Linked DNA regions of Danio rerio. The protein of the gene in region 1 interacts with the protein of each later gene in a pairwise test. Links are inferred from orthologs where the notes say so. Each region holds a gene or a part of one and is shown on either strand. Other genes may lie near its edges.

Region 1 (10,634 bases):
CGAGTAAATGAATACGATGAATGAGAACACACAGGCATGTGTGTACAGGGAGTGCAGAATTATTAGGCAAATGAGTATTTTGACCACATCATCCTCTTTATGCATGTTGTCTTACTCCAAGCTGTATAGGCTCGAAAGCCTACTACCAATTAAGAATATTAGATGTGCATCTCTGTAATGAGAAGGGCGCAAAATAACTGCCAAAGAACTGAGAAAATCAAGCGTGCAGCTGCCAAGATGCCACTTGCCACCAGTTTGGCCATATTTCAGGTCTGCAACATCGCTGGAGTGCCCAAAAGCACAAGGTGTGCAATACTCAGAGACATGGCCAAGGTAAGAAAGGCTGAAAGACGACCACCACTGAACAATACACACAAGCTGAAACGTCAAGACTGGGCCAAGAAATATCTCAAGACTGATTTTTCTAAGGTTTTATGGACTGATGAAACGAGAGTGAGTCTTAATGGGCCAGATGGATGGGCCCGTGGCTGGATTGGTAAAGGGCAGAGAGCTCCAGTCCGACTCAGACGCCAGCAAGGTGGAGGTGGAGTACTGGTTTGGGCTGGTATCATCAAAGATGAGCTTGTGGGGCCTTTTCGGGTTGAGGATGGAGTCAACTCCCAGTCCTACTGCCAGTTTCTGGAAGACATCTTCTTTAAGCAGTGGTACAGGAAGAAGTCTGCATCCTTTAAGAAAAACATAATTTTCATGCAGGACAATGCTCCATCACACGCGTCCAAATACTCCACAGCGTGGCTGGGGAGAAAGGGTATAAAAGAAGAAAAACTAATGACATGGCCTCCTTGTTCACCTGATCTGAACCGCATTGAGAACCTGTGGTCCATCATCAAATGTGAGATTTACAAAGAGGGAAAACAGTACACATCTGAACAGTGTCTGGGAGGCTGTGGTTGCTGCTGCATGAAATGTTGATGGTGAACAGATCAGAACACTGACAGAATCTATGTATGGCAGGCTTTTGAGTGTCCTTGCAAAGAAAGGTGGCTATATTGGTCACTGATTAGTTTTTGTTTTGTTTTTGAATGTCAGAAATGTATATTTGTGAGTGTGGAGATGTTATATTGGTTTCAGTGGTAAAAATAAATAATTGAAATGGGTATATATTTGTTTTTTGTTAAGTTGCCTAATAATTATGCACAGTAATAGTCCCCTGCACACACAGATATCCCCCTAAAATAGCTAAAACTAAATACAAACTAAAAACTACTTCCAAAAATATTCAGCTTTGAAATTAATAAGTTTTTTGGGATCACTGAGAACATGGTTGTTGTTCAATAATAAAATTATTCCTCAAAAATACAACTTGCCTAATAATTCTGCACTCTCTGTATAGACATACATTGTACTGCTGTACAGTAACATGTCATTTGTTTGTTTTGGTTGTCCTAATTTTAATAGTTTCGTAATCATGTGGTGTGCTTTATCTGCCTGATTCCTGCTGAAGTGGGCGGATTGGGTGACGTTCGATTAGGAGGATGTTCTGAGGGCTGGGTTTGCATGACGTGCTGCGAGCTACTAGCCCGACAGTGGAAACGCGACATGATTTCGGCCTCACTGCTCAACCTCCTGGGCTATTGGCCCGACCTGGCCCGATAAAAGCCCTGGCTCGCACTGGCCCGATAGTGGAAATGCGGCTAATGAAACCCAACTGTTTCGTCACTTTGCATAGGTTCTTGATGGACCCAAAAATCTGCGAGTAACCATACCAAACAGACGAAAGCTCATTGAAATGATAGCCGCGTTCTGTGCCTGCGCAACAGTCTGATAATCTAATAATTCATATCATTGCATTATTGTTGGAAATATTTGAGAAATTTATTGAAATTACATCCAGCCTTTTAGTGTTCCTTCTTGACTTGAATTGTTTACCTGCTACAACACTTCGTGACCTTAGAATTATAAGGTTCTATCTGACATTTTTGTCAAAATTGAGCTATTGACATATTCTAATTAAATGACAACTTACTAACATCATGGTATGTTCTTCATTAGTTGTTTACATGTTAAGACTTTTTAATTAAAAAAACAAATGGAATGCAAAAACTTTGAAGTTCAATATTTCAAAATCATTCAGAATGCAGATAGAACCTTATAATTCCAAGGAGACGACTTATCTATGTCACACGCGTGCTCTGATTCGTTCCTGAATAACCAGTCAGTGTACTCTCTTCAGCTTATGGTCTGACATCGATTCTAGACACTGAATCAGGCCATTGAACAATGTTAACCCGGCGAGAGTCGACACGTAGAATACACCAAACCAACTAGCCTGATCAACGGACAGACAAAGTCCAACAGCAGACCATTGGCTTGGTGTGTCCCAGGCCTTACAGTGCATTAAAAAGATGGCTTTGTAAGAATGCTAATAAGATCAATGAAAAAAAGCACAGCAGAATAAGCACATACTGATTTTGAGTTGTCTTTTAATCCTCTCCACATTTCGGTCTCTGTATTGGGCTTGAATTGTATTACAGCGACCCATCAGTTCCAGGAATTCACGGGACAAAACACCATGCTTTCAAAAAATGATGAGGAGACATACAAGATCAGATTATTCTCAGGCAAAACAACACTGTTTAAGTTTAATTATTTATTAAAACATGAAATATAAAAGCAACTGACCTGAGTTCTCCTCATTCTTACATTCACTGGGATATATTTTTCTTCAACTTCCAATTTCTTAGGTTCAAGACCTATGATGTAAATGAAGTGATTAATTTTTCACATTTGTTAGGTTGAGCAGAAAAGTTTGATTGTCAAAAAAAAAGCTTCATTTATAAAATTTTATTTATCAGTCTCACTTTTTAATTTCTTTTGGATCTGGCTGGCCATCCCTTTGATGTCTTCTCTGAGTGACTGCAGTTCCTTTTTCATACCTGTGCTCAAAGAAAAATATAATTTACTCATTCACTCACTATCCTTTAACTTACTCTCTTCATAATTATTAATTAATACACACACACAACATAAGATTATGTAAATGAATAATAAAAAACCCAAGTGAAAGCTAAATTACTTACTGTCCTCTGGAAGTGCAACTCCTAGCACTGTTTTCTGCTTGTTCTCCAATTCGGAAACCTTTCTCTTAAGAGTTTCAAGTCCCTCTCGAATCTCCTGAACCTACATAGAAAAAAGAAAATATATTTTTATGTCAAGTTTCAATGCAAACTTTCCAAGCACAAATGTTATGGAATTCAAGTGACCCAAATGTAATTTATGTGTAATGTTTGACATTACATGAAGTTTGCACAAACACTAAACAGCTTCATTCCTTTATTACTGTTTGCATGTGCATGTTCCTAATCTACGGTGGTGGAGAGAGAGCTCAAATGTACTGTAAGCTAAGATATGCATATAGAAAAACCAAACTAAGAAAATGTGTTCATTCGTTTGACAATATGTGTAAGCAAATTCTCACAACACATGCACATATGCAAAGAGCACATGACAGAAATGTGTCAGGGAACCCCAAAAGAGACAAACCCAGCTACTTCCTGTTTAGAGCCTGTCAGGGTTGCTGTCTGATGGTTATTTTAATGTCCTGGTCGTAAGGTTCCTTGTTGTTTGTACATTTTTTGCATTAATAATTGATAAAAAATGCTTTTTTATTGGTGTTTTTTGTTGGTGCAGTACATTTGAGCGCTCTCAGCCACCGTACTAATCAGTATTTGTGAGAAACCTGCAGTGTAGAAAATCACAGTTCAGAATTGCAGGATTTCTAAATTATATTATACAAGAACCAACAATACACACTTCAGTTCAAAAATCATTAATTACAGAAACAACATGCTACTTCTGTACAGATCCCTAAAACTAGTGCATAAAAGTATTGAAAGTTGCAGTTAAAATGAGAGCAATCGTGCTACAATGACCTTTTTAAAGAAAGCTTCATTTTCTTTGTCTTCATTTGCTGAGGTTCCAGATCCAGGCTTTATCATTAGAGCTACGGTTTCTTCATCTTCATCTGAGGCATCAGCAGTCTAGTAAAAGAGTACACAATACGACACTGAATATAGTTAAGAATATTGTTATTAATAAATTTTTATATTGTATGTTATCATATTTTAAAAATATTACCACCATACAAAGTGCAAGACAGTGTTTCTGCAGCTTAGATAAAGGTAAATAAGGTTAGCAAAATATCTATTTTAAATAATACCTCAAAGTTTAAAAAAAAGTAAACAGATCTGTTATTTCTAAACTTACAAAAAAAAGTCAAAACTGAATAGCCATTAAAAATGTTACTCTTCTCATCACATTACAAAAAACATCTTCCACTATATTCGTCGTTTTGCAAATGTGTGAAAGTCTTAAATCAAGATATATTTTACATTTACTTGACATGTTTTATGAAAAATATATATTTGAATTTAATTAATTTAGGATTACACAAAAAGTAGCTTTAAGGAAAAACACGTTAACATGACAGATAGTGTGTTTTATTGTGTGTGAATTTATTAACATTATAGTTTTTTTGCTTTTACAGGAAAACGAAGTAAAAACCATATACAGGAGATTCATATTTTTCAGTATGTGCAACATTTAGTGTAAAAACTTTGTGAAATTAACCCTTTGTGACTCTCTTTGGGACATTTAAAGGTATTTGTTTGTCGAAAGGCAAATGTAGTCCCACAGAAGAAACTGCAACAACACAATTACGTGAAAAAACAAACGGATGATAATAAACCTTTATTGCCGAGCGAATGACAGTGTATTAATAATAATACAACTAAAAGTTAAGTACCAATTCAACGCTTAACTTTCTTGTGAGAAAAACTAAAATCAATATTCAAATGCAACCATTCATGGCAGCTGTATTTATTTGTAGGCTAAATAAAGTTACACCCCGTTTACCCAAGAGCGCTGGTGCTGCAAGAGGGTGTTAGCCTACCGTTCGTGGACTTTAACCATATATTTTTCCAACACAAGAAAATAAGCCACACAACTATAGATTGTGACTCGTTACAATCCTTGAAGGAGTTAATAAATCGCAGTCGAGCCAGTGGTGACAGTAGTTACATCCGCTGAATAACATTAGCCCGTTAGCCAGTTAGCCGGTTTCCTGCGTGCACTGCCCTGAAATTACTCACATTGCCCAGTTCTTTGGTCCGGTCCCGCATTTTCGATGTATTTTATGGCCAGCTCAGATGAAATGTTCCCGTTTTTAAGAGGTGTAGCTCATCTGTCTCCTGACCATAAACTTGCAAAACTCACAACAGATAAGAGGGAGTTTCCATTGAAAGTCACATTTCACGCCAGCCAACTTCCACAAATAACTTTCAGAGCAGAATATTGATGGACGCTGAGAGATGCTGTGTATATCTATGCTATATGGATAAACTCTGGTTATGTTTAGAGATCAGTGTGGGGCGATGTCGCTGTATATGACTTTACCGTTTTCTTCTTCTCTATCAGTTTGCGGATGTCTGACAAATCCGTCAAGGCTCTTACTGCCCCCTACTGAGCGACACGACTGAGGCTATTTAAGGAAGCCAATTTCCGCCAGAGAATAACAGTTTTTATCTTTTCCCGCTTTTTGTTTCAGATTTCTGAGATTTAAAATCAAAATTTCGAGTTATAAAGTCAGAATTCTCAGACATAAAGTCACAACTGTGTGATATAAAGACATAATTTTCACATATAAGTCATAAAGTCAGAACTCTAAGTTACAATTCAGAGATTAAGTTACAATTTAGAGTTATGAAGTCAGAATTCTAGGATAAAGTCACAATTCAGAGATATAAAATGTCACAATTCTGAGTAAATAAATAAAGCAAGAATTTTGAGATATACTTCACAATTACAGGTTTTGTCAGAAATCTGAAATATAAAGTTGCAATTGTGCGATATAAAGACAGCATTCTGAGATATATGTCACAATTATATAAAGCTATTACATAAGAGTTATAAAGCCAGCTATAATTAGCATTGCCGGCAGCTAGCCCTCTGCAACTCTCATGGTTGAGCAGGGCTGCGCCAGGTCAGTTCCTGGATGGGATACCACATGGGAAAGCAACTGTAGGTTATTGCCACAAGTGTGTTAGGGAGACCAGCTCAACCTGCTGTCTGTATGTCTCCTAACACGCCGGTACATTAATATACTGTCAGTGAGTCCTGTCTTTCAGATGAGATGTTAAACCTGACTCTCTGTGGTCGTTAAAAATCCCAGGATGTCCTTTGAAAAAAAAGAGCAGGGGTTAACCTCGGCATCCTGGCCAAAGCTGCCTACTAGCCTCTGTCCATCATGGCATCATAACTCTATCTCCACTCCACCAATCAGCTGGTGTGTATTCTGGTGCAATATGGCTGCCGTCATTCTGGTGGATGCTGCACAATGGTGGTGGATGAGGAGATTCCCCCACCCCCCAAAAAATGTGTAAAGTGCTTTGAGTGTCCAGAAAAGTGCTATATAAAGTTAAGGAATTATTATTAAAATTCTGAATGCAATAACTACTTCAAAAAAATTACTCAGTGGCGAAAACGGGCTTACATATCCACATGGGTGCATCACTCAGTAGGGGGCAAAAAGAATCTGAGTTTTGAAGTCAGAATTGCGAGTTTTAACGGATATCAGATCAGTAATTGTATAAAGAAAGAAAAGAAAATCGAAAGCTGGAAATCATAAACCTAAAAATAGATTTGACAGGAAGAACCAAAACTGGAGATTTTAAAGTGATGACATGAAGAAGTTTTTGCTTCCCAGAAGAGCATTATAGTGAAAAGTCTTTCAAAGTACCATTTTAGTTTACTGATTAGCATGTAAACACATACAAACCCAACAATTAGATTTTTTTTTATAGCTCTGCGCTTTGCGGTTTTAAGCCTCCTTGTTAGAGCAATCGAATCCCATGCGGAAGGTCGCCGGTTCGATACTAGCTTGGAGCGGATTGGGTGGCGTGGAACTGGCAAGGTAACATAAACAGAAACGCACACAGTGATGACAGAATTCTTATTTTCGGGTGAAATATCCTCTTAAGAATGTGATCTTATGAAAGATAATATTCCATGTTAGCTTTATATAACTTTTTATTTAACACGAAAAATTTAATTTTCTCATGTAAACAAAGAAAAACAATATGGCATAATTCATTATTTGCTTATAAAACAGTCATAGTTGAATTCAGCAAATTAACCACATAACATATAAGAACAAAATAAGAGAAGCAGATTGATGCTCTACTGCCATCATTTGCGAATAATACAAATCTAAACGTCTTTCATTCCTGACTGAATAACATAAAATACTGCTAAGTTTCCCTTTTTCAAAAGAACAGATAATACACATAAACAAAGCTTATTCACATGCTAGTTTGCCATCAAATGAGGACAGTGTGATAGCAAATGCCTGTAGAGCACACATGGGAAAGCTGTAGTCCATGGAAAACACATCGTCTGCAACCCGGCCAAACTGCATTACAATGTAGTCCACTGGAGAGAGATGTTGAGCCACAAAAAAAAAAATCACAACTGGGAACTGTAATATTGTCATATGTTATAAATAATTTGCGAGTAAAAACACATACCATTATCTGGATGGACAATCTGAAAGTTTTTGACAGATGCCTGAGTAACTCGGCCATGAAAATTAAGCACATACGACTGAGTTTGCTCATTCCAGCTGGGTGATTTATTGACTAGAGTGACAAGATTCTCTTTATTACCGTTCTCGTATCGGGTGAGCAGAGACTCCAGCTCCTGGAACATGCAAAGTAGATCTTTATTATTAATATGGTATTACTATACATACAAATAAATCAGTAGTGAATCAAACTCATAAGAAGATTTTTTTTTAAATTTATAAATATTCCGTCCCTCCAGGATTTTGCAAGTCCAATAGTTATTGAGATCAAACATTTTTCACATTTTACAAGGTTTGTCTGTATTTTCACATAAAAAAAAAAACAATAATTGAAGCAAATAATATCAAAAGTGTTGAGGAAAGGCATCACAAAATCAATAATTTTTAGACCACAGATAAAAAAAATTATTAATATCATTTATATATTCATTCATTTTCTTTACGGCTTAGTCCTTTATTATTCAGGTGTCGCCACAGAGGAATTAACTGTCAACTTATCCAGCATAAATTTTACACAGCGGATGCCCTTCCAGCTGCTACCCAACACTGGGAAACACCCATACACTCTTGCATTTACATATACTTCACATCTTGCATTCGCTTCTTGCTGTGGGGTGATCGTGCTATCCACTGTGCTACTGTGACACTGATTTATTAATATTATTAATATAAATAATAATATTGCGCAGTATGGCACAGTAGGTAGTGCTGTCACCTCACAGCAAGAAGGTCGCTGGTTCGAGCCTCGGCTCAGTTGCCGTTTTTGTGTGGAGTTTGCATGTTCTCCCCGCGATTGCGTGTCTTTCCTCCGGGTGCTATGGTTTCCCCCACAAGTCCAAAAATATTCGGTACAAGTCTGGGCAAGCTTAAATTGTTTGTAATGTATGTGTGTGTGAATGAGAGTGTATCACAGTGATGGGTTGCAGCTGGTAGGGCATCACCTGCATAAAACATATGCTGGATAAGTTGGCGGATGATCCCAAGGATTCCATATCCGGGAACAGGCCATATCCTGAGCTGCTGCTGCGCTGATGGTTCGTGGGGAGTGGAGAACATGAGTCTGATTCCAGCGACGCTCCAGGGACAGACGAGTCTTCATTGAGGCCATCTTCCAGCCTCAACCACGGCGAATGAAGCTCTGCACAAGAGTTTTGGCCAGCGGAGAAATTAAAATTGTCGTGCCCAACTGAGTCTGGTTCTCTCAAGGTTTTTCTTTCTTCACTCCCATCAGGTGAAGTTTTTTTCCCTCTCCGCTGTCGCCACTGCCTCGCATGGTTCAGGATTGGTAGAGCTACGCATCGATGAATTTGCTCTTCAGTGTTTGAACTCTCAGTAATGATTAAATCACACTGAACTGAGCTAAACTGAACTGAACTTAAACACTAAAACCTGAACCACACTGTTCCAGTTACTATGACCATTTATGTGAAGCTGCTTTGACACAATCTACATTGTAAAAGCGCTATACAAATAAAGCTGAATTAAATTGAATTGAATTCATTCTGCTGTGGTGACCCCAGATTAATTAAGGGACAAAGTCGAAATGAAAATGAATGAATGAAAAATAAATAAACCTGCAATATGATGGAGGGACTGAATATTTCAGGATATTATACTTATACACTACTCATTAAAAGTGTAAGGATATCTAGAATAAAAATGTATTTTTTTAAACTATAATTTTTTTTGCCAAAGATTTATTAAATTAATCAAAAGAGATATTGAATGTTTATAAATTATTGATTAAATTTATAATGTTGTGAATAAAAAGACAAGTAATTGCTGTTCTTTGACCTCTCTATTAATCAAAGAATCCTGAAAAATAACATATCATGGTTCATTACATTTATAAATATATACACATATATAAAACTTTAATATTTCACAATAGTTATGTGGCATTGCATAGCATTTGACCAATTAAATGCAGCCTTGCAAAGATTAAGATATTTTTTTAAAAATTGAAATTAAATCTTTCCATGTTTATTATATTAGTGATCATCCAAACTTTATTAACTAATGAACAACTTACGCTTTTTGGTCGAATAACGACTCTCTCATCATTTTCGTGCATACCAGGAATAATTACTGTCATTTTGCGGGGACCTTTGAAACCCAGAACATTTTTTTCCTGTGTGACATTAAAGAAAAAGTAAGAATTTTACAATAAAAAAAAACATATAAAATTACTGTATGGTGAATACTAATACAAAATACAACTAAATACAATATACAACCAAATACAATTAATTACAATTGAAACCTACTGTACACTTTATCTAATGCACACAACAACCATCTTACATAAAATATTGCTGCTAGCTCTTGTCGCAGTGTATCCATTTCTTTAATAAATGGTTTCCTTTCAGGATTCTCACCATTATCAAACACAGTGAACTTAGTCCCCAAGACATTTGACCTGAGAAGACAAACCATGTTTTAAGGATTTGCTTCACAAGCATAAAGATTTGTGATGTGTCACTGCTATGGCACAAACCTTAATTTTCCAATGTAGCTGTCAGTATCTCTGGATAAATCTGTAGGATCAACTGATATCAAATAATTGGACGTTTTGCACTTTTTTCTTTTCCTGCCAGCCATCAGAAAGACCTGCCCATCCCAAACAAAAGGAAAGAGAGTAATGGTGTGTTAAGAAATGAAAAGTAAAATTGCTTTTCAAATATTTCTCTATTAACATTTCTGCTAACCCGTTTCCCATCCTCTTTCTCCATGTGGAGGTAATAAGTGGGGTAGATCCCTTTCTCCACTCCTCTCCTGTCTCTGGTGATCCTGCACTGAATGGTCACGTCTCTTGGAGCAGGACGCATGGCAAACTGTTCCAGATCCTCCAAAGACATGGGAGACGACTGGACAAAACAAAACAAATATATGAATATTCATTCATTAATTTGCTTTTTGCTTAGTCCCTTTATTAATTTGGGGTCGTCACAGCTGAATGAATCACCAACTTATCCAGCATATGTTTTACGCAGCGGATGCCCTACCAGCTGCAACTCATCACTGGAAAACATCC
Region 2 (10,634 bases), on another chromosome or scaffold:
CCAATCATATGCGTTTAGAGCCGGAAAAAGAATTGATCTATTCCTCTCTCGAGTCCTCTATCGGGTCTGAGTCATTCGTTCATCACGGGCCAATCATATGCGTTTAGAGCCGGAAAAAGAATTGATCCGTTCCTCGAGTCCTCGAGTTTGAGTCATTCTGTCACGTGATGAACGAACGACTCAAGAACCAGAAGACGTGAAAGGTGAACTAATTATCATGGCTCCTATCAGCTCAGACTGTGCACATTGGTTAAGATTATATGTGACTGTCAGTGTAACGTGAACGAACCACTGAGATTTGAAGACATGAAGAGGTGAGCTGAGCAAAGAGACAACAATACCTTCATAGACGAAACAGCAGGTAAACTTCGAACTATTATTTTCTCCTCTTATAGTATTCTAGTTATGACATTTGTGGTGTGATCAACCTTTTGGGCTAGTTGTAGATGTTTGGAAGCAATTCATAACATTTTAATAATATTTTGGCAAATTGAACGAAATGACTCGAAAAAGGATTCGTTCATCTCGATGAACGAGACTCAAAGATCCGAGTCAGTAAAATGATCTGAACTTCCCTTCACTGAGATGAATGAAGGGCTCAAGGAGACTGGAACGTAATGAGTGTGAGTAATTAATAACAGAGTTGACATTTTTGAGTGAAATAACCCTTTAACTGGCATCAACAAACTTTACAACGCAGACTCTTCTGCTTTCCAATACATCTGCTTATCTCGAAGTTGGATTCAGCTTGTTGTGGTCATATCAGTGCCCACTTTGATCTCCTCTGGGCTTGTGGTGTTATTGGACAACGTTTGCGCCGTTTCCTCTCTTGGCCTCTTCCAAGCGGAGCGAGTAGCAATCCAGACAACGAGTGCACCGAATGCAGCAATGAGCAGCCCGAGAACATTCACCAACACGGCTTCAGGAGGAGAGTCTTTATAAGCAGGACTTTTCCTGAAACACATGACGGACAACACAGTTGTGGTCAGGAAGTGTATTTGTGTGTGTGTTTTTAATCTGAAGCAGCACTTACAGGCTAAATATGAGTTTCTCAGTGATGCCCATGAGAGCTGCGGCGATGACACTGATGAAGATGAAGAGGCCGCTGTAGATGTGCAAAGGCATAAGAGCTGCACGCACACGCACTGGGGTGACGGGTATCAGATACACAGCGATCCCCAACACTATCTGAATCACCAGAAAGAAGAGCTACATCAAAACCGATCACATGCAACACACACACACACATCTGAAATACCAATACATATCTAGACGATTAGCAGGGGTCTTTTAACCATTCTTAAACAGAGCAATTCCAGAGTTATGGATGTGACATTTGCAGTAAAAACTCAAAACAGTAAAAATATACGTTAACATTATATTGAAAGATCTGTTTATATTTTACAAAAAAATCTGCATGGTTCAAGCCTGCAGATATCATAATGCCAAATTTAAGACTTTAAGACCTTTTGAAGACTATTAGGTATTAAATTTAAGACCTATATCACAATATCAAAAACACGCATACACAAAGAGAAAATGAAAAAAAAAATTACTAAATTAGTGGTAAAATGAATGTATTTAAATTGAACAGTACTAAAGGTAGGTTAGATGCACCACTGAACTACAGAAAAAAACCAACAAACATCTTAAGGCTGATTTATACTTTTGCCTGGCGCCGCATCGCACACCTCACGAAACGGACGAGGCTTTTATACTTGACCGCCATTGAGATATTCTCTTAATGACAGGGGGCGGTTAAAAGAAACAAGACAGTAAAATCAGACGGATAAACAAAGCAGTAGAACGTTTCCACAACTTCGTCATATCATTAATATCATTAAAGATTTTTTAACTAATTGTTTTTTTATAATTTATTATGATGATTATAAAGATTTTTATAATCATTCAAGATTTTTTAAATCAAATTTTGATGCATCACTTGCTTTTGTTCATATCTACCGTACAGTTCTACCGATTAAAAGTTAAATACAAATAAAAACATGGGTTGCTCTAAGATTATATTTTTTATTATGGCAAGAATAAAACAACAACAACAAAAAAAGTACACTTACAAAAAATTATGACGTTATTATTATTATTTTTTTGCCCACTCAATTCACACATTACTGTCTGGCTAGTTTCTGTCCTCCACTTATAAACTAAAAAGGAAATAATGGTCAAACATTCCTGACCATTACCACCAATAAAGCCTAGAAATTGGGCATATTGTAAACTGATAGGTTCAAATATTATTTTCCAGTTATCAAAGAAATAATTGTTACTTAATTTTCGTTTGTATTATATATCTACATCAGTGTAAAACCTATGAATAGTGGAAAAACATATTCTGTAATAATAAAACCACCTGGGTCTCCACTTTTGCATGGCCTCTTTTTTTTTTTTTTTTTTTTGTTTTAACAAACTTATCCCCCTCTCCACGCTGGATTACACACAAGAATCTAATCACCGTGACGCAGCTTCAAAAATTGGTTTCAAACCGCAAGAACGAATTTGCTCAAAATAACGCAAAAACAACCAATTTTCTTTTTTTGTGTGTGAAATATACGTGTCCCTATAGTGTTTATAGCAGCATGGGACTACTAACATATATTACTGTGAACATCTCAAAATATGGGTTCCCTGCTGAAATATCTAGCTTAAACCAGCCTAGGCTGATTGGCTGGTTTTAGCTGGTTGACCAGCCTGGTTTTAGAGGGGTTTTGGCCATTTCCAGGCTGGTTTCCAGCCATTTCCTGCCTGATTTAGCTGGTCTGTCTATAAAATGACCAGCTAAATCCAGCTAAAATCAGCTTGACCAGCCTGGTTTAAGCTGGACATAGCTGGTTTTAGCTGGGCTCCCATCCTGGCTAGGTTGGTCAAGCTGGTTTTAGCTGGCCATCTCCCAGCTTGACCAGCTAAGACCAGGCTGGAAATGGCTGGAAACCAGCCTGGAAGTAGCCAAAACCCCTCTAAAACTAGCCTGGTCGACTAGCTAAAACCAGCCAACCAGCCTAGGCTGGTTTAAGCTGTTTTTTTCAGTAGAGTTTTGGTGTTTCGTGACCCTTTAACATTTGGTAATGTCCATTCTCATATTATTTTAAACTAAAACTGACTCTCACAAAATATGCTTTTGTCCTTAAAGTCATTTGAACGTTGTCAGTATCAATAAAACAGCTTCATTCATTTTATTTACGATTTACATGTCAACTTTTTCAGCTGTTTAAATGCAATAAGAGAGCCTAGGAAATTTACATACAGACTTGCACACAGTATACGTCTGTTCACAGTATAAGAAACAACTACATAATGTGTAGTCCATTCATTCATTCATTGTCTTTTCGGCTTAGTCCCTTTATTAATCTGGGGTCGCCACAGCGGAATGAACCGCCAACTTATCCAGCAAGTTTTTACGCAGCGGATGCCCTTCCAGCCGCAACCCATCTCTGGGAAACATCCACACACACACACTCATACACTAAGGACAATTTAGCCTACCCAATTCACCTGTACCACATGTCTTTGGACTGTGGGGGAAACCGGAGCACCCGGAGGAAACCCACGCGAAAGCGGGGAGAACATGCAAACTCCACACAGAAACGCTAACTGAGCCGAGGCTTAAACCAGCGACCTTCTTGCTGTGAGGCGACAGCACTACCTACTGTGCCACTGCCTCGCCAGTAATGTGTAGTCATTTCAATGAAAATAAAGTCAAATTCAAAGTTTGAAATTTAAAATATATATATATTTAACAATTAAAAGTGAAAATCTGAACCACATTTCAGCTTATTTTAAATAAGTAGTTTAAACAAGCAGCATTTTTAAATGTGTACTTCATTCACCGCTGATTTACACAAATCTGCCAAACATTCAGTTTACCTCTATGAGAACTAAAACTTCACTTACAGCACCTGCTTCGACCCTGTGTAGATGTACACCAGTGTCCGTGAACTCATACCTGTGATGGATACAGTACGACAGCAGCCAGACCAACCCAGCTGTGAAGACTGTACATGTTGGGAATGTTTTTGGCATTGTGGAAAACAAACACAGCCACCACAGAAATCACAGCCAAGATGAAGGCGAGAATATGCAGCCCTGCGTGGATCAACTTCATCATCTGCTTGCTGCACCTCCAGGTCCATGGCAGTCTGTACACTACAATTGCTGAGGAGGAAGAAAAAAAAGACGTGAAGAGCATTCAAATGCCATGAGGGGGGCGATGACGTTTTAAATACTCGAATACAAACATGTCCCAAGAAACTAACATTTCTCCTTAATAATATAGTAAGTATTCTTTGGAAATTCTAAGTAGGGAAATCATATTAGCAGCCAATGACTATCAACATACAGCATTGTTTGCAGTCAATTAAACAGTGCTGATGTTGTTTTGAGGTCATGTGACTACCATGGTAAACAAAATAGGGAGCGCGTCACAAGCTGTCACTGAACGAATGTGCGAATATAAAACCCACTTTGCCTCAATGCCAAGAGCATTCTCCGATCTTTCACTAACATTCTGGAAATGTTCTCTCAGTGTTTTTTAAATGTTCTTTCTGTAACATTAATACAGTGTTCAATATTATGCGGTCATACTGACACATCATAATGTTGTCATCGTTAGACATCGTTAGCTGGATGTCCACTAAACACGTGTAATTTTTCATCCTTACATCTCAGCAAGTATTTTTGTGTTTAAAAGAAGTTTAATAGACGTCTAGACATAGATGGCTGGCCTAAAACAAGGCTACCTATAGGCAGTTGGGAAAAATTTTAAGAAAAGCCTTAAACAAGACTACACATCAATTAGACAGGAATGAATACCGACACACGTGAAGTCTGTCTAATCGGTGCACATCAGCAAAAGTCTAGTTTTGGGTTATTTTTTTTTATGTCTATTAGATTTTTACTGACAGTCTAAATATAGCCTAGCTTTAGCTATTGAGCCAGATTAGAGTCACAAAAATAATACATTTACAAAATAAAACGAATACATCTACAACTCAAAATCCAATAATTAAGTACAATTCAGAAACGCACATTTTCAGTTCATAAATTCAAAGCACAAGTAAAAAATATGCAAATCCAAATCATCAAATCAAAACAAAATTAGTAAAATGCAAAAATACAATTCGGAATTTCAAAACACAATTCAGAAATAAACAATTGAAATTCGTAAATTCATAACACAATTCAAAAATAGACAAATCCAAATTCGTCAAATGGAAACACGATTTGTAAATACACAAATCCAATTCAGCAAATGAAAACACGATTTGTAAATACACAAATGCAATTCATAAATTCAAAACATGATTAAAAAATACACAAATCTAATTCGTTAAATGGAAACACGATTCGTAAATACACAAATGCCATTCGGAAATTCAAAACACGATTCCAAAATACACATATCCAATTTGTCAAATGAAAACACAATTCGTAACTACACAAATACAATTCGTTAATTCAAAACACGATTCATAAATACACAAATCCAATTTGTAAACTCAAAACATGATTCATAAATACACAAATCATATTCATAAATACGCAAATCCAATTCGTAAATTCAAAACACAATTCGTAAATACACAAATACAAATCAATTGGCAATATTAGATTTTTAACTGGTGAACTTACAAATTGTGTGTTATGTAGCGTATTTACAAATTATGTTTTAAATTTCAATGTGGATTTTGTTAATGTGAATTGTGCTGTCCATGTATGAACTTTATTTTGTAAATGTTTTATTTTTGAGACTGATCTGGCTCCATATTAGCCAAGTTGCGTTTAGACGTCAATCAAACACAACATTCAAAGCATTCAAGTCTAACATTTACCCTAAAGAAAACAAGGAACATTTCTCTAATGATGTTCAATGTATTTAAAAAGTTTTTAACGTTCCGTTAAAAGTAACCTCATGCGAGTTTAGTTTTATTTTGCTTTGTTTATTGTTGCGAAAAAACGCACTTGTTCGGAGTTTAAATCATTATACTGTCCGTTTTCATATCACACCCAAAATCATGAGAAAAGCAACGTTACGACACATTAAGGTGGGCTACTTAAGTTATTTAAATGTTTTGAAAACTGTAATGTAATTGTGTGGGTCATAAACGTGACCTGTTGCTTTAAATCCTGATTACACACTCAGGAATGTGAAACCTCAGACTGTCTCAACAGATGCAAACACTCAACTCCTTACCGATTCCTTGAAGAAAAATAAAGCCTATAACCATCAACAGCGGGTGCCAGTTAAACTCAGCCGCTCCTCCGTCCCATCCGAGCCCTTCTCTGTAGTGTAAAACCCAGGATAAAGCGACCGCGATCGACACAATCCCGACCACCGACGCCAGAATGAAGAACAGCAGAAACTGCGGGTAGTTCTCCATCATCCTCGAGCTCTGAAGTGCACTAGATGACACTCAACATCTGACTGACCCGCTGCAGGAAAACACACACAAGACACGTCAGTTTGGGGGCTGGCTCGCGTTTTCACTTCTCACCCAAACAACGGGATGTGTCCCAAATCATAATATGGCGCCTGGGCGGGCAGCATCTTTTCTTAATTAACAACGTTTGAATAGAAAAGCATTAATACCTTTAAAATGACACAAATGACTGAGATTTACATTTACAATCTTTTCATGCATTAATAACACATCTAAAAAAATTGTTTGTGGTTTGTTCAAACTACTTATTAAAAATGAGCTGAAACAACACACTTCTTCAGTTTTTTTGGGGACTGCTTAATTGTTTTATGTTCAATCCACTTAAATTTGTAAAAACTAATAACTTAATTTGCCTCATGTCATTCCAACACAAATCGATTGGTGCATTTTGACAGCATATATAAATAAAAATACAATAAAAAAAATCTAAAAAATTATGAATAAAGAAAAATAAGTAGCAGGGGAGTGGAAGTTCTCAAAATATGAAAGCAAAATCCTTTATTAAAGTATATAACTATCTTGATTTTGACTTTTATACTTGGCATCATCCAAAAAAAAAATTAGTTTCTATAGTTCAAATATCTTAAATAATCTTGAATTAAGAAGCGTTTTTCAGAGAATAGGATCAGTCAAAATTAAGTGAGTTTTTCCTTAAAACAAGCAAACTATTCTTGTTTTTTTTTGGTTTAATTTTAGTTTGAATTTAGTTAAATTGTTATTTTTCTTGTTTTAATATTAAATTAAGAAGGGCTTTTTCAAGAAATACTTCTAAATTCAATTCATCTTTATTTCTGTACAATTTTACAATGTAGATTGTGTCAAAGCAGTTTAACATAGAATATTATAATAGATGGAAACAGTGTCAGTCCAGTTTTCAGAATTGAGTTGCTTTCACTACTGAAAGTCCAAACACAGAAGAGCAAATCCATCTATGCGAGCCAAACCTAGCAAACCTGTGGCGAGGACAAAACTTCACCAATTGACGAAAGTGAAGGAAAAACCATTGAGAGTAACCTGCCATTTTTACTATTAAAAGCACATTTTAATTTAAATGTGATGTTTTTTGTTTTTATTTGTTTTTTACATATAAGCGCAGTACAGTGTTCATGTTCAGACTATGTATAATATTTAAATGGCTGACACTAATAAATTTTCTTATTAATAGTAATTCATCTGCCACATTTTTGAACTGTGAAGAGTTGTAGCTGCTTTACTGGGCCTACTATGACTACGCTACTGTACTTCAGTACTGCCCATGGAACTTGGAGAGACTTTTTTTTTCTGACGTAGTTTTTAATTTTATAAACATCATTTTAAGGTTAATGTTATTAGCCCCTTTAAGCTTAATTATTATTTTTTCGATAGCCTACAGCAGTGGCTTTCAAACTTTTTTCCTCAAGTACCACCTCTGAAAAAAATAGTCTCTCCAAGTTCCATGGGCAGTACTGAAAAACAGTAGCGTAGCCATAGTAGGCCCAGTAAAGCAGACACAACTCTTCACAGTTCAAAAACGTGGCAGATGAATTACTATTATTAAGAAAATTTATTAGTGTCAGCCATTTAAATATTATACATAGTCTGAACATGAACACTGTACTGCGCTTATAAGTAAAAAACAAATAAAAACAAAAAACATCACATTTAAATTAAAATGTGCTTTTAATAGTAAAAAAGGAAGGTAACTTGCCTAATTACCCTTACCTGCCTAGGTAACCTAATTAACCAAGTCAAGCCTTTAAATGTCACTTTAAGCTGAATAGAAGTGTCTTGAAAAATATCTATTAGTATCTATTAAAACTATTATGTATAGAAATGTGTTGAAAAAAATGTGCTTTCCGTTAAACAGAAATTGGGGAAAAAATAAACAGGGGGGCTAATAATTCTGACTTCAACTGTACATCTCTAGCTAAAATATAATCTTTGTTCAAAATGTCTCTCTGCTTAGACTTATGACACCTCATGCTGTCTAAGTAGGCAACTCATGAAGTCTGTCAGCTCACTAAATGAAACACAGGCTGCTTTTCTTTTTTTTTTTTTTCCTCGACAGTTTTGTAAGCAACCACAGTGTTATACAACGTAACTTGGTTTCACAATCATGACAAGAGAGTATCTGTCACAAAATTCTGTCTTTATTAAGATAGTTTTGAGTTAATGTTTGCATACTGATATAAATTAGTAAACAGAACCGTGTCAGGTCATTGATGTCAATGCATGAATGCTCACTGATCAGCAATTTCTCCAATACAAATGACAGTGTGAAAGATTCATGCTTCATAATACAAAAATATATATATTTTCTGCTCTCGAGTTGTCAAACATCAACATAGGAGAATATCTACATTATAATACAGTAACAGACATCTTTTATTACGTTGTTTTGTCTACATCAGGCATGTCCAAACTCGGTCCTGGGCCTGTGTGTCCTGCAAAGTTTAGTTCCAACCCCAATCAGACACACCTGGGCTAGCTAATCAAGCTCTTACTAGGCTTTCTAGAAACATTCTTTTAGGTGTGTTAAGGCAAGCTAAAATCTGCAGGACACCAGACCTCCAGGACCTGGTCTACATGATATGAAGCATGCTCATTATGGTTGGTCTGAAGCCGGTCTCTTCATTTTATAAACATGGCAACAGAAGCTGTTGTTCTTCTCCTGGACAGTGTGAATAATGGTGTCTCTGTCAAAGTACACCTCGTGACTGTAGGTCTGGAAAAACAAAGGAGAACCTTTGAATTATGAGCAATTAAAAAAATAGCGTCTAATGCTGTGGTTCCCAAGCCTGTTCCTGGAGGCACACCGGCAGTACATATTTTGGATGTCTTTCTCATCTGACCCATTAACTTCAGGTTTTATTATGTTCTGATGAGTTGATTCAGGCGTGTTTGATTAGGAAGAGGTTGAAATGTGTACTGTTGGTGTGCCTTCAGGAACAGGGTTGGGAAACACTGGCCTAGATGATACATTTGTATTCGGGAAGATGTAAAGACTGAATTTGTGTGTGTGTTTTATCTGAAGCAGGACTTACAGGTCAAATATGAGTTCTTTCGGTTTAAAAGCGATTAATCGTGCTGACCTAGACTCTTGTTTCCCAACCCTGTTCCCAGAGACACACCAACAGTACATATTTTGGATGTCTCCCTTATCTGACCCATTAACTTCAGCTCTTGGAGTTTCTTCTAATGCTCTGATGAGTTGATTCAGGTGTGTTTGATTAGGAAGAGGTTGAAAACGGGTGCTGTTGGTGTGCCTTCAGGAACAGGATTGGGAAACACTGGCCTAGACAATACATTTGTAGTCAGAAAGATATAAAAGACTGCATTTGTGTGTGTGTGTGTGTGTGTCTTTTATCAGAAGCTGCACTTACAGGCCAAATATGAGTTCTTTCAGTTTAAAAATGATTTATTGTGCAGGCCTAGACCAGTGTTTCCCAACTCTGTTGCCGAAGACACACCAACAGTACATATTTTGGATGTCTTCCTCATCTGACCCATTAACTATGTTCTGATGAGTTGATTCAGGTGTGTTTGATTAGGAAGAGGTTGAAAATGTGTAATGTTGGTGTGTCTTCAGGAACATGATTGGGAAACACTGGCAAACACATAGGAAACACCTAGAAAACACGTTTTTAGTCAGGAAGATTCAAAGACTGCATTTGTGTGTGTGTGTGTGTGTATGTGTTTTATCTAAAGCAGCACTTAAAGGACAAATACGAGTGTCTTTTGGTTTAAAAACTATTTAACATGCAGGTGTAAACCAGTGTTTCCCAACCCTGTTCCTGGAGACGCATCAACAGTCCATATTTTGTATGTCTCCCTTATCAGACCCATTAACTTCAGCTTCTGTAGTCTCTTCTAATGCTCTGAAGAGTTGATTTAGGTTTGTTTGATTAGGAAAAGGATGAAAATGTGTACAGTTGGTGTGCCTTCAGGACCAGAGTTGGGAAACACTGGCCTATACTATACATTTGTATTCAGGAAGATGTAAAGACTGAATTTGTGTGTGTATTTTATCTGAAGCAGCTCTTAAAGGCTAAATATGAGTTTCTTTCGGTTTAAAAGTGATTAATCGTGCAGGCCTAGACCAGTTTTTCCCAACCCTGTTCCTGGAGACACACCAACAGTCCATATTTTGGATGTCTCCCTTATCTGACCCATTAACTTTAGCTCTTGGAGTTTCTTCTAATG
Region 3 (10,634 bases), on another chromosome or scaffold:
GCAACTCTTGCAAACAATGTTGTAAAGAGGAAAAATAAAAATGAATAAGGTTTCAGTTCTGGGCATTTATCATAACCTGAATCATGAACCGCTTGAAAATTCTCAGTTTCTCTGGAGGAACTGGATTCACCAAGTATGCATTTGAGTAAAACTTTAATATTTGTTTTATTTTATACATGTATTTTATTATATATGTATTTTTATATATGTATTTTTGCCCAATTTATTTATTCCACTAAATATTGCTTTGTTAACTCTGCTGAAACTGAAACATTGATGCTTTAATGAATAATTTGCATTGCTCTAATTTATTTGCAGATTCAGAAGTGATGACATTAAAGGTCCCATGAAGTGCTTTATAATGTGGATGTTTTATCTGATGTTTGACGTAAATTTAAACCGAAACACCAATAGAGGGTGGGGCAGGGTAACTCCTCCCCTAAAAACAGCCAATAGCGTTTTGTTTAATCACCGCTCTGTCAGCTCAAGCACAAAATAGGGGCGGGCCGGGGCATGTCAGATACTAGAGAGCAGTAAATTGGTTATGATTTGATGAGAAACTGCAGTATGAGGTTCATGTGAATAAAACAGTTGATTCGTTTGGGTGAAGTGACAATCTATAAGCTTGACATGTTCATATCAGTTTTATATCTTCTAAACTTGAATTCTGTCACTGTTTTGATTCTGTGGGACCTTTAATAGATTACAGAATAGAAGACAAATGACATTTTATTCAAACACACATGATTGATTTTCTTCTGGAAACTGCCTTGAACTGGAAACCTGTAACCATTGACTTCAATAGTATATATATATATATATATATATATATATATATATATATATATATATATATATATATATATATATATATATATATATATATATATAAATCCATTAGAATTTATAAATCATCACCCATTCATAGCAATGAAGTTCTCTTAAAAGAATAACACAAACAAATGTTTAATTATTACTGAATTAAATATGCATGTTTTTCCAGTATAAGTAGCATTTCTCCATTGAAGAGACTGTAATTTTGGGGACAGATGTTTTTTTTTTTTCTCTCATATTGCACATTGTAACTCAATGGTTCAATTTCTAATTCACTGGCCAGAAAAGCACATTTGCTCCCCTTAATTCCTCCTCATTATCATCATTACCATCATCATAAGTGTGAGGATTTTGCTCTTCTACCCCAAATGAGCATGGCATGTAATAAAGTCCTGGATCTCAGGAGTTGTGTGGTCACCTGAGTTTGATGACCCAATACAGGACGAGGAACACAAACAGAGCAAACAGCAGCATGTAGCAGTACACCTTGGTCTGGCTTCCCCTGGAGAGGAGCTTCAATCGGCCCATGGTGGCTCCCAGCAGACCTCCAGTCGAGTCAAAGTCTGAGTCCTTAAGGAGAAAACGAGTCAGATATTAAAGCTATTCACAATACTACTATCTTAAAAAAGAAATTTAATTAAAGGGGTTTAACATGCAAGTACACGTATGAAGTCAGAATTATTATCCCCTGTATACCCCCCCCCCCAATTTCTGTGCAACAGAGAGAATATTTTCCAGCACATTTCTAAACACATTAGTTTTAATAACTCATCTCTAATAACTGATTTATTTTATCTTTGCTATGATGACAGTACATAATATTTTACTAGATATTTTTCCAGAGTATTCAGCTTAAAGTGACATTTAAAGGCAGTAGGTTAATTAGACAAGTTAAATTAGGCAAGTCGTTGTATAACAGTGGTTTGTTCTGTAGACAATCGAGAAAAAAATAATGATTAAGGGGCCAATAACACTGACCTTAAAATGACTTTAAAAACAAAAATTAAAAACTGCTTTTATTCAAGCCAAAATAAAACAAATAAGACTTTCTACAGAAGAAAAAACATTATAGGAAATACTGTGAAAAACTCCTTGCTGTTAAACCTCTTTTAAGAAATATTTGAAAAAGAAAAAAAAAACTTCACAGAAGAGCTAATAGTTTAGACTTCAACTGTATATACTGTAAATTTGTTTAGCATGCTTACGTTTCAAAAGATTACAGCGTTGCTTTAACCACAGCACAATTGGAACTTTAGAATGCCTTAATGTGAATGCATGAATATTTATTCTTAAATCCCAATGTCAATCTTTTAGTTTTTTTTTTTTTTACAACAGAACACTTTTTAATTTAGAGCTGCACAATTTCAGCATTCAATGTCTGCATGTGAAATTGTCACATCCCTGGATCTGCAATGTTGAGATGGGATTATACTAAATCCAACACCACCGCTCAGAAGATGAGATCTGCAAAGTTTAGCCATAATACATTGAAATTAGGGATGCTCATTTCAGTTAATTTTGCCAACTGACAACTGCCACTTGTTAACAGAATATTAACCATTAACTGGTCATATTAATATTCAATTATTATTTAATTTAAAAACTTGTATTTTGTGTCTGACACATTAAATATTGCATTTTAAAATACTTATTCTAAAACACACAACAAAGCATCTTCATGCACAATCAGGGAATCTTCCGTCCATTTCATATTTGTTTTCAAGCAAAAAAAGGAAAATTAAGAAAACTGACGTTTTTCGGTTTTCTTTTGTTTGCAATAGAACAAACTTTTTTTGTTGTTGTTTTTTTTTAGGGTAGGAAAATGGATAGATGATTTTAAAATTAATAATGCACATGTAGGCAGTGCTGAACACCCATTTGTCTCTGATTGGTATTCAAGATTTGTAAAGTGCTAACTAAGTTCGGTGCTAACTGATAAAGCATGTTAAATAGAAGCTATAAAATAATAAGATGCATTACCTCACTGTGATTTAACCATTACAGAAACAGATGTGCCTGGCTATATCATATCTAGATAAATATGCCTAGATATCTATATCATATCTAGAGAGCTAGTACAATTTACGTTTTTCTGACTAATTCGCGTGTATTTACATTGATATGATGCACATTTGATCAATTAGTTATTGTATTTCACCAAAACTACACACATTTTTTACTGTGAAAACAAATTAAAAAAAGCTATTTAAAAAATCAGTAGTTACAACTATTCAGTTTTGCGAATTGTATTATTACCTCATCAGCTCCTCAAAATAATGAATGATGATGATGGGATTTTTTTAAAACCATGTGACAACTGTGCCACTCCCACCTGCCGGTAGAAACAGATACTGCAGAATAGCTGACAATTTAATTACATGACTTAATAGCTGCGTTAACTGGAGCACAGTGATGTATGAGCTAATTTTAAAAACTTTGATAACAAAATAAATTTTATACAACCTATTTTTATTTAAGTGCAACATATTCCAACAAAAGATCAGGGGCTTTTGACAATACATCAGGGGCTTAAGACGCCACAGTCCCCCTCTTGAAACACACTGTGCATTTCTGTGTGTGCTGTACATGTAGAAACACCTTTCTATTTGCACCTGACACTTCCAAGGACTCAATGGGAAAATCTCATACATTTGTGGTACAAATCTTGTGAAATTATATCAATATCGCAATATATCGCAGAAAAACTAAATACTGTCAATTTTTCCCAAGATTGTGCAGCCCTATTTCAGATGCACAAATAAAAGCTTTGTTTTGTTACTTTAAAATTCAAACAATAAATGCTTTATTCTTATACTTTTCAATACATATTTAATATATAATGTACGTTTAAATGAATCCGTTACAAAGGAATTGGATTACTAATTGGAGTAGAAACAATTTCATAATTAGATTTAAATTATTGTAAAAACAGTCTCATGTTTGCATTTAGAATTATTTTAGCATGGATTTCAATATCTAAAAACTAATTGCAACTGAATTTAATAAAGGTCCCTGTTGGAAACTGTACACTTAAATATAGCAATGCTTAAATAATAAGGCTCCATATATAGTTTATAGTTGTTCCCCTCAATAGCAGTTGTACATTTATAGTTTCTTTACCCTTAATATCAACTGTACTTTTAACTGAATTTATTTAAAGACACAGCCACAATTTGTATAGTAAAAACATCAATGTTATGAATTTTTCCACCCATTAAACAGAAAACACCAAACTTCAAAACAAAAGTCATTTTAGTGTACCATGAAACCCCTACTAGACATTGAAAAACTTCCTGACACATACCATTTCTCCCAACATCTTATTGTGGATCTTGACTTCATTTCCAATGTCAATAGACAACTGCAAAAGGCATAATTAAAAGATTAAACACATATTTTCCAAAAATAAGAATAGTTATGCAGAGTAGTTAATCAAAATAGAGCATCAGATATGAAGGCCACTCACGTGTTTAAGTGCGTGTACTTTATCTCTCAGTCCCTCCTGTAGATGTTCATTCTCCTCCTCATACACACTGTATCCGCTCGCAACGTAATTGCCTTGAGGGCCACCTTCTCCTGTACAAGAAACATTCAGGTCAGGTCAAATCCAACGGAATTTAAAAAAAAAAACATTTAAAATCAAGTATTTAGTACTAAAAATAATAAATCTTATTACAGTAAACTGAAATGTTGCCTTAAAGAACTGGTTCACGACAAAATGAAATCTGTCAATGTTTACTCGCCCTTTAAATGTTTCAAACTAGTAGCTAGTGTTGTCACGATACTGGAATTCAATACCAATCGATACTGAAGCTTAAAAAAGCATCCATCTCTTGCTAAGATTTAAACACTGTTGATTACGTTCTTAAACACAGCTGATTTGCCATTGTGTTCACATGCTCAACAAAAATGACTGTGATTGGCAGTGAAGGTCATTAGTTCACCAATCTCACTGCTGTTCACTGAGTGTAAACACAGATACAGACACTGGAGCATTTAAAAGCCGCAATTCATCAGCAGATCGCTTGTATGTGAAGTTATAGACAAACCAGCTGATTGACGTGACTTTAAAATGCTTGTGTCCCTGTATCTGTGTTTACACTCAGTAAACAGTGTTGAGTTTGGTGAACTAATGACCTTCACGGCCAATCACAGTCATTTCTGTTGAGCATGTGAACACAACAGCAAATCAACAGTGTTTAAGAATGGGCTCAACAGCGCTCAAATGTAAGCAGGAAATGGACGTTTGTAAAATTTCAGTACCGATTGGTATCGAATTCCAGTATTGTGCCAATGCTACCTGTAACCATTCACCTCCATAGTAGCAAAAACAAATACTATGGAAGTCAATGGTTACAGGTTTTTAGCTCTGTTTAAAATTTCTTCTTTTGTGAAATATAAAAATTGTTTGGGGTGACTATCCCTTTAAGAGTAATTGACAAGTATGCACTGATTTGATTGATCAAATATTCTCTAAAGTTGGAAGTGAATTTGAAAAACCTAAACAAATAAGATTGAAATGTTCATCAGAAACTATTTAAAATCGAAAAGTAAAAACTCTGGATAAAATCTTGATTGTCTACATGAGACAAAATGTTGAAATTTGCAAAATAATGAATGTTTTTTTAAATTAAAAGGTAGATTATTTGCTTGGTGCCTCATTTTATCAAGTTTAAAATGGGTTTTATTTGCTTTATCAATCATACTTTACTGTTCAAATTAGTGCTGGGCCGATAAACAATATTATATCGAATCACAATAAAATTTTTGTCAATAACAATGACAATCTCTTGACTTTTCTACTCTATATTGATCTAAGAGCAAATCACACAGCAGAAATGTGCAACAATGGGAATCCAAAAGGGTGTTGATATTAGAGATGCACCGAATTTTCAGCCACGGAAATTTATTGGAAAAAAATGTTCTGCCATCTATTGCAGGGGTTCCCAAACTTTTCAGCCCGCGACCCCCAAAATGACAATGCCAGTGACTCGCGACCCCCAATATCATCTGAGGTTGTTATAAATACAGAAACCTTGCATGCAATGGTGCACACACGCCAATACACCCAGGTTTATTCTTTGTGTAATTTTTTAAAATGTATCTCAGTGCTGTAAATGGGCCAGAAAGTTTAAGCAGGTATAAAATCAATCTGCTGCATCCGATGCTATTGCTGTGTCTTTAATATTATGTAATTACTACAGGGGTCACAATCCAATAGAACTAGTAACTATAAGTTATTATATAGTTTATAGTAACTCTAAATGACTTTTTTTCTCTTCAGTAGGTTACAATATGGTAATTCCGGTTTAATAAAAATAAATAGATGTTTGGAAATCCCCAGGCGACCCTTCCTTTCATTGTCCTGCGACCCCTCAAGGGGTCCCGACCCCTAATTTGAGAACTACTGATCTAATGGACTCTTATTTTTGTGGCTTCAGTCAATGTTAAAGTACTATTTTAAATCTGGAAGCATTGCCAACTTGTATTGAAATATATGATGTTATGCTTCATATGGAAAATAATTAACGAGTTTGAATTCTTTTTTAATATCGCCCAGCCCTACTTCGAATAGAAGGTTTTTTAATTTCAGCTTAGATGTGTCATATTTATGCTGTTACAGTATCTCGTGTTGTTCATACACAGAAGTTGCTTTTCTGTATGATATAAATATATATGTAAACATGATTAATAAATAACGCCACTGACGTAAAGCTGGTTTTAAATTCACACATTCGAACTTTCTCCTTAATAATATGATTTCAGAAAAGTATTATTTGGAAGTTCTAAATAGGGAAATTATATTAGCAGACTATTAAAAACATTGTTCACAGTAAATTATATAGTGTTGTTTTGTAGTCATACTTACACGTGATTTCAGTCCGAATATTCAAACTAGCATAAAGGTAAACAATACAGGGAGCTGTCACAGAACAAATGTTCGAATATAAAAACAACTTCACCTCAATAACAACGATGGTGAAATAGAGAAATAGGAGTTGCTAGTTACTGCAAGAACGTTAATAAACGTTATTTATCCATTTAACGTTAACGTTAATTCTCCACACCTGGATTTAACGTTAATGTGTGGGTGATGATTTGGTCATTCAGAGATTGCTTACTGTCATAAACTGTGACCAATAACGTTAAGTTTTCTAATTGAGTTGAGATTTTAGCTTAGCATAAGCTTCAAGCAATACGACACATAAAAACGCAAACTTACCCAAACCAGCGCGCCTCATTGTCAACCCAGTAATCTATATGACGTGGATACGATCACTGCAGTCTGTAAAATAATGTGACAAATATTCGCTAATGTTGATATTTAGAGAATCTGTACTTTCCCCCTCCAACTTCACAAGCGCCACGACACCTCTTACGGAAGCCGCAGAGGATTAAACGATACGCGTTTAAGTTACATGGGCTTCTGGGTACTGAAGTTTTTACTGCGAGTATTGCGGTTAATTCTTGTCTTTATTTGTCATAATTCTAACATTTTCTTCAGCAAACTGTGACTTCATTTCTCAAAAGTAAGTTGACACGACTTGCAGGGTTAATTTAATTGAAAAATTGCAAACAGCTGTAGACTTTCTCACAGTTCAGACTCTAAGACAAGTCAGATTTTCAAAAATCTGTGACACTATTATTTATTTTATAGAAAATGTATAGACTTTCTCTCAATTCTGAATTTATCTTCATTCTGAGGTTCTTTCAAAGAACTGTTTTACTTTTTATAACTGATAGTACAAAGCCTTATATGGGAGCGACATGGTGGCTCAGTGCCTCACAGCAAGAAGGACGCTGGTTTGAGTCCCGGCTGAGTCAGTTAGCGTTTCTGTGTGGAGTTTGCATGTTCTCCCTGCGTTGGTGTGGGTTTCCTCCGGGTGCTCCAGTTTCCCCCACAGTCCAAAGACATGCGGTACAGGTGAATTGGGTAGGCTAAATTGTCCGTAGTGTATGAGAGTGTTTGTGAATGTGTGTTTGGGTGTTTCCCAGAGATGGGTTGCGGCTGGAAGGGCATCCGCTGTGTAAAAACTTGCTGGATAAGTTGGCGGTTCATTCCGCTGTGGCGACTCCGGATTATTAAAGGGACTAAGCCGACAAGAAAATGAATGGAATGAATGAGTTTGCATGTTCCCCCATTGTTAGTGTGGGTTTCCTCACAGTTTAAAAAAACTTACCCAGACTTTAAAAGAAACAGACTATGAGCAAATGAGTTTAATAAACACTGAAAAGTGTTTCACTGACTATATATACACAAATATTTTTTTACATTTAATATGCAAATTTTTGAATATTCATTTCTTTTTCAACAATATAAAATTGAGCATTTCATCTCAATGTTTGCGACGCGTTGGCACAGTGGGTAGCACGATTGCCTCACATCAAGAAGGTCGCTGGTTCGAGTCTTGGCTGGGTCTGTTGGCATTTTTGTGTGGAGTTTGCATGTTCTCCCCGTGTTTGTGTGGGTTTCCTCTGGGTGCTCTGATTTCCCCCACAAGTCCAAAGACATGCGGTACAGGTGAATTGGATAAGCTTAAATTGGCCATAGTGTATGTGTGTGATTGAGTGTGTATAGGTGTTTCCCAGTGTTGGGTTGCAGCTGGAAGGGCATTCGCTGTGTAAAACATATACTGGATAAGTTGGCAGTTCACTCCGCTGTGGCAACCCAAGATTAATAAAGGCACTAAGTCAAAAAGAAAATTAATGAATGAATCTCAGTGTCAAGAAATGCTTCTAAATCATTACATTTACACACATTTCAATTTTGTGTGGTGTGGCATTATTTAGTCGACTCTGATTTTGTGTGATTTTGTCTTTCTGGTGTTTCCTGCTGTCAATAGAGAAGTTCGGCGAAATGACAAAGAAAGCTAATCCTAATTGGTCCTCGTGCATGCATTAAAAATGCTGATTGGCTCACAGATAGAACCTTATAGAGCCAAGCTAGAGTTCAACTTTGTAGATACACCTTTTTTGTTTTTTTAAATAAAAAGCCTTAAAGTAAACAACATATAAAACACATCCCATAATGTAAATAAGTTGCCATTTAATAAGAATATGTGAATAACTCAATTTTGACAAAAATGTCAGATAGAACCTTATAACTCTAAGGTGACGAAATGTAGTGCCAAGTTGTAGCCTACGGAGCCATATGATAAGCTAAAAATAAATAAATGTGGCCTGTTGCAGAGACAGTAACACACAAAAAAATTGGTCAAAGCAACTGAATGCAGATTTAATTTGGCAAATGAAGAAATCATTTTGTGATATATATATATATATATATATATATATATATATATATATATATATATATATATATATATATATATATATATATATATATATATATATATATATGAGCAATTCCAGCGTTATGGATGTGACATTTGCAGTAAAAACTCAAAACATAATTTCACACAGAAAGTATATGTTGACATTATATCGAAACTTCTGTTTATATTTTCCAAAATAGCTCACCACAGAGTTATGGGAGCACAAAAATATCAATATGTAAACATGTTTTATATTTTAAATTAGGAAAATAAACATGCGTTATGGATGTGACAAAAAAAGTTTGCGAATTTACAGTCGACAACAGATTATTTAGAAATTCTGACAGTTAAACTGCACAACCCAAAAGACACAATGCTCATCAAACAGGTATGAGTCGGCTCACTATAGAATTAAAATGATTGATTTTATTTTATTTGACATTTTTGCATTTATGAAGAAAAAGTGTCGTTATGGATGTGACACATTTCCGTTATGGATGTGACAGCTGTGAAATTGCCACTTGTGTGATTTTGGCAAATTAAATATAATAGTTTGAAATACTGACAGATACATTCACGAGTATTTTTACAGTACTGTAAAATACTTGCTAACACAAAAAATGTAAAAACGGTTTGTCTATTTTGCTGAAAACTAAATAATTTTTTATGGCAAGGTTGACATTTGCGTGGAATTGCCCATATATATATATATATATATATATATATATATATATATATATATATATATATATATATATATATATATATATATATATTTATGAGTCTACATTTTTAATGTAAACTATTTTATGTTACTTACTTTCTCCCAGACCCATATATATCGAAGCTGATATTTAGCCACACCATATTGAGGTTTCTTAACATCTAGTTTATGATGTGTGTTGTTAGCGGTTGTTAGCCCAACGCTCAACCCCATCCTGGAGGACCAGGACATACACACATACACTACGTACAATTTAGCTTACCCAATTTATAGAATAAAATCGCTGTCATAAATATTTCGTGCATAATTAAAATTCACGCATCTGTAATTATAACAGCGTAAAGGAAAACAGAACGTACTCGTACATTTACAAGGGTACAAATACAAAATCTGCGATTAGAACAGACACAGATACAACATTTTCTTTGTCTGTTTGTATATGACTGATAAATGTACGATGGGTGTACTTTACAAACACGAAATACAGTTTCACCACGGACGCAAAGACCTGATTACGAGTATGAATCAAACTGTTTCATTCGTATCGTAATCAGGTTGTCGTGTCTGTGGTGAAACTGTATTTCGTGTTTTATTCTATACAATTCACCAACAGCACATGTCTTTGGTCTTTGGGGAAAACCGTAGCACCCGGAAGAAACACACAACAACTTGGGGAGAACATGCAAACTCCACACAGAAATGCCAACTAATCCAGCCAAGGCTCAAACCAGCGACATTCTTGCTGTGAGCCGACGTTGCCACTGTGTCACCCATTTTATGTGTTACGTAACATTTTTTAG

Evidence for each region.
Region 2: the proteins of stx4 (region 1) and cybrd1 interact in binary tests that used the Homo sapiens proteins (3 or more experiments, as listed by UniProt). The two-hybrid records come from large-scale screens. The link is inferred for Danio rerio from reciprocal best matches to the Homo sapiens genes STX4 and CYBRD1.
Region 3: the proteins of stx4 (region 1) and bet1 interact in binary tests that used the Homo sapiens proteins (3 or more experiments, as listed by UniProt). The two-hybrid records come from large-scale screens. The link is inferred for Danio rerio from reciprocal best matches to the Homo sapiens genes STX4 and BET1.

Annotation. Positions count from the first base shown.
Region 1 is NC_133187.1:22,370,134-22,380,767, reverse strand, and holds the start of stx4 (syntaxin-4), read right to left. Parts: upstream 5,296-10,634; 5' UTR 5,142-5,295; coding exon 5,112-5,141; intron 4,002-5,111; coding exon 3,894-4,001; intron 3,142-3,893; coding exon 3,042-3,141; intron 2,898-3,041; coding exon 2,823-2,897; intron 2,715-2,822; coding exon 2,644-2,714; intron 2,537-2,643; coding exon 2,428-2,536; intron 1-2,427. Other genes in the region: uncharacterized protein si:dkey-220f10.4, read right to left, coding at 7,316-7,449, 7,545-7,716, 9,633-9,731, 9,905-10,019, 10,098-10,210, 10,309-10,467. UniProt on the Homo sapiens protein: Plasma membrane t-SNARE that mediates docking of transport vesicles. Necessary for the translocation of SLC2A4 from intracellular vesicles to the plasma membrane.
Region 2 is NC_133184.1:3,505,789-3,516,422, forward strand, and holds cybrd1 (plasma membrane ascorbate-dependent reductase CYBRD1), read right to left. Parts: upstream 4,783-10,634; 5' UTR 4,737-4,782; intron 4,276-4,736; 5' UTR 4,202-4,275; coding exon 3,959-4,201; intron 1,189-3,958; coding exon 1,034-1,188; intron 955-1,033; coding exon 744-954; 3' UTR 448-743; downstream 1-447. Other genes in the region: dcaf17 (DDB1- and CUL4-associated factor 17), read right to left, coding at 9,037-9,156. UniProt on the Homo sapiens protein: Plasma membrane reductase that uses cytoplasmic ascorbate as an electron donor to reduce extracellular Fe(3+) into Fe(2+).
Region 3 is NC_133194.1:43,528,458-43,539,091, forward strand, and holds bet1 (BET1 homolog), read right to left. Parts: upstream 7,203-10,634; 5' UTR 7,077-7,202; coding exon 7,058-7,076; intron 4,411-7,057; coding exon 4,301-4,410; intron 4,196-4,300; coding exon 4,139-4,195; intron 1,405-4,138; coding exon 1,249-1,404; 3' UTR 954-1,248; downstream 1-953. UniProt on the Homo sapiens protein: Required for vesicular transport from the ER to the Golgi complex. Functions as a SNARE involved in the docking process of ER-derived vesicles with the cis-Golgi membrane.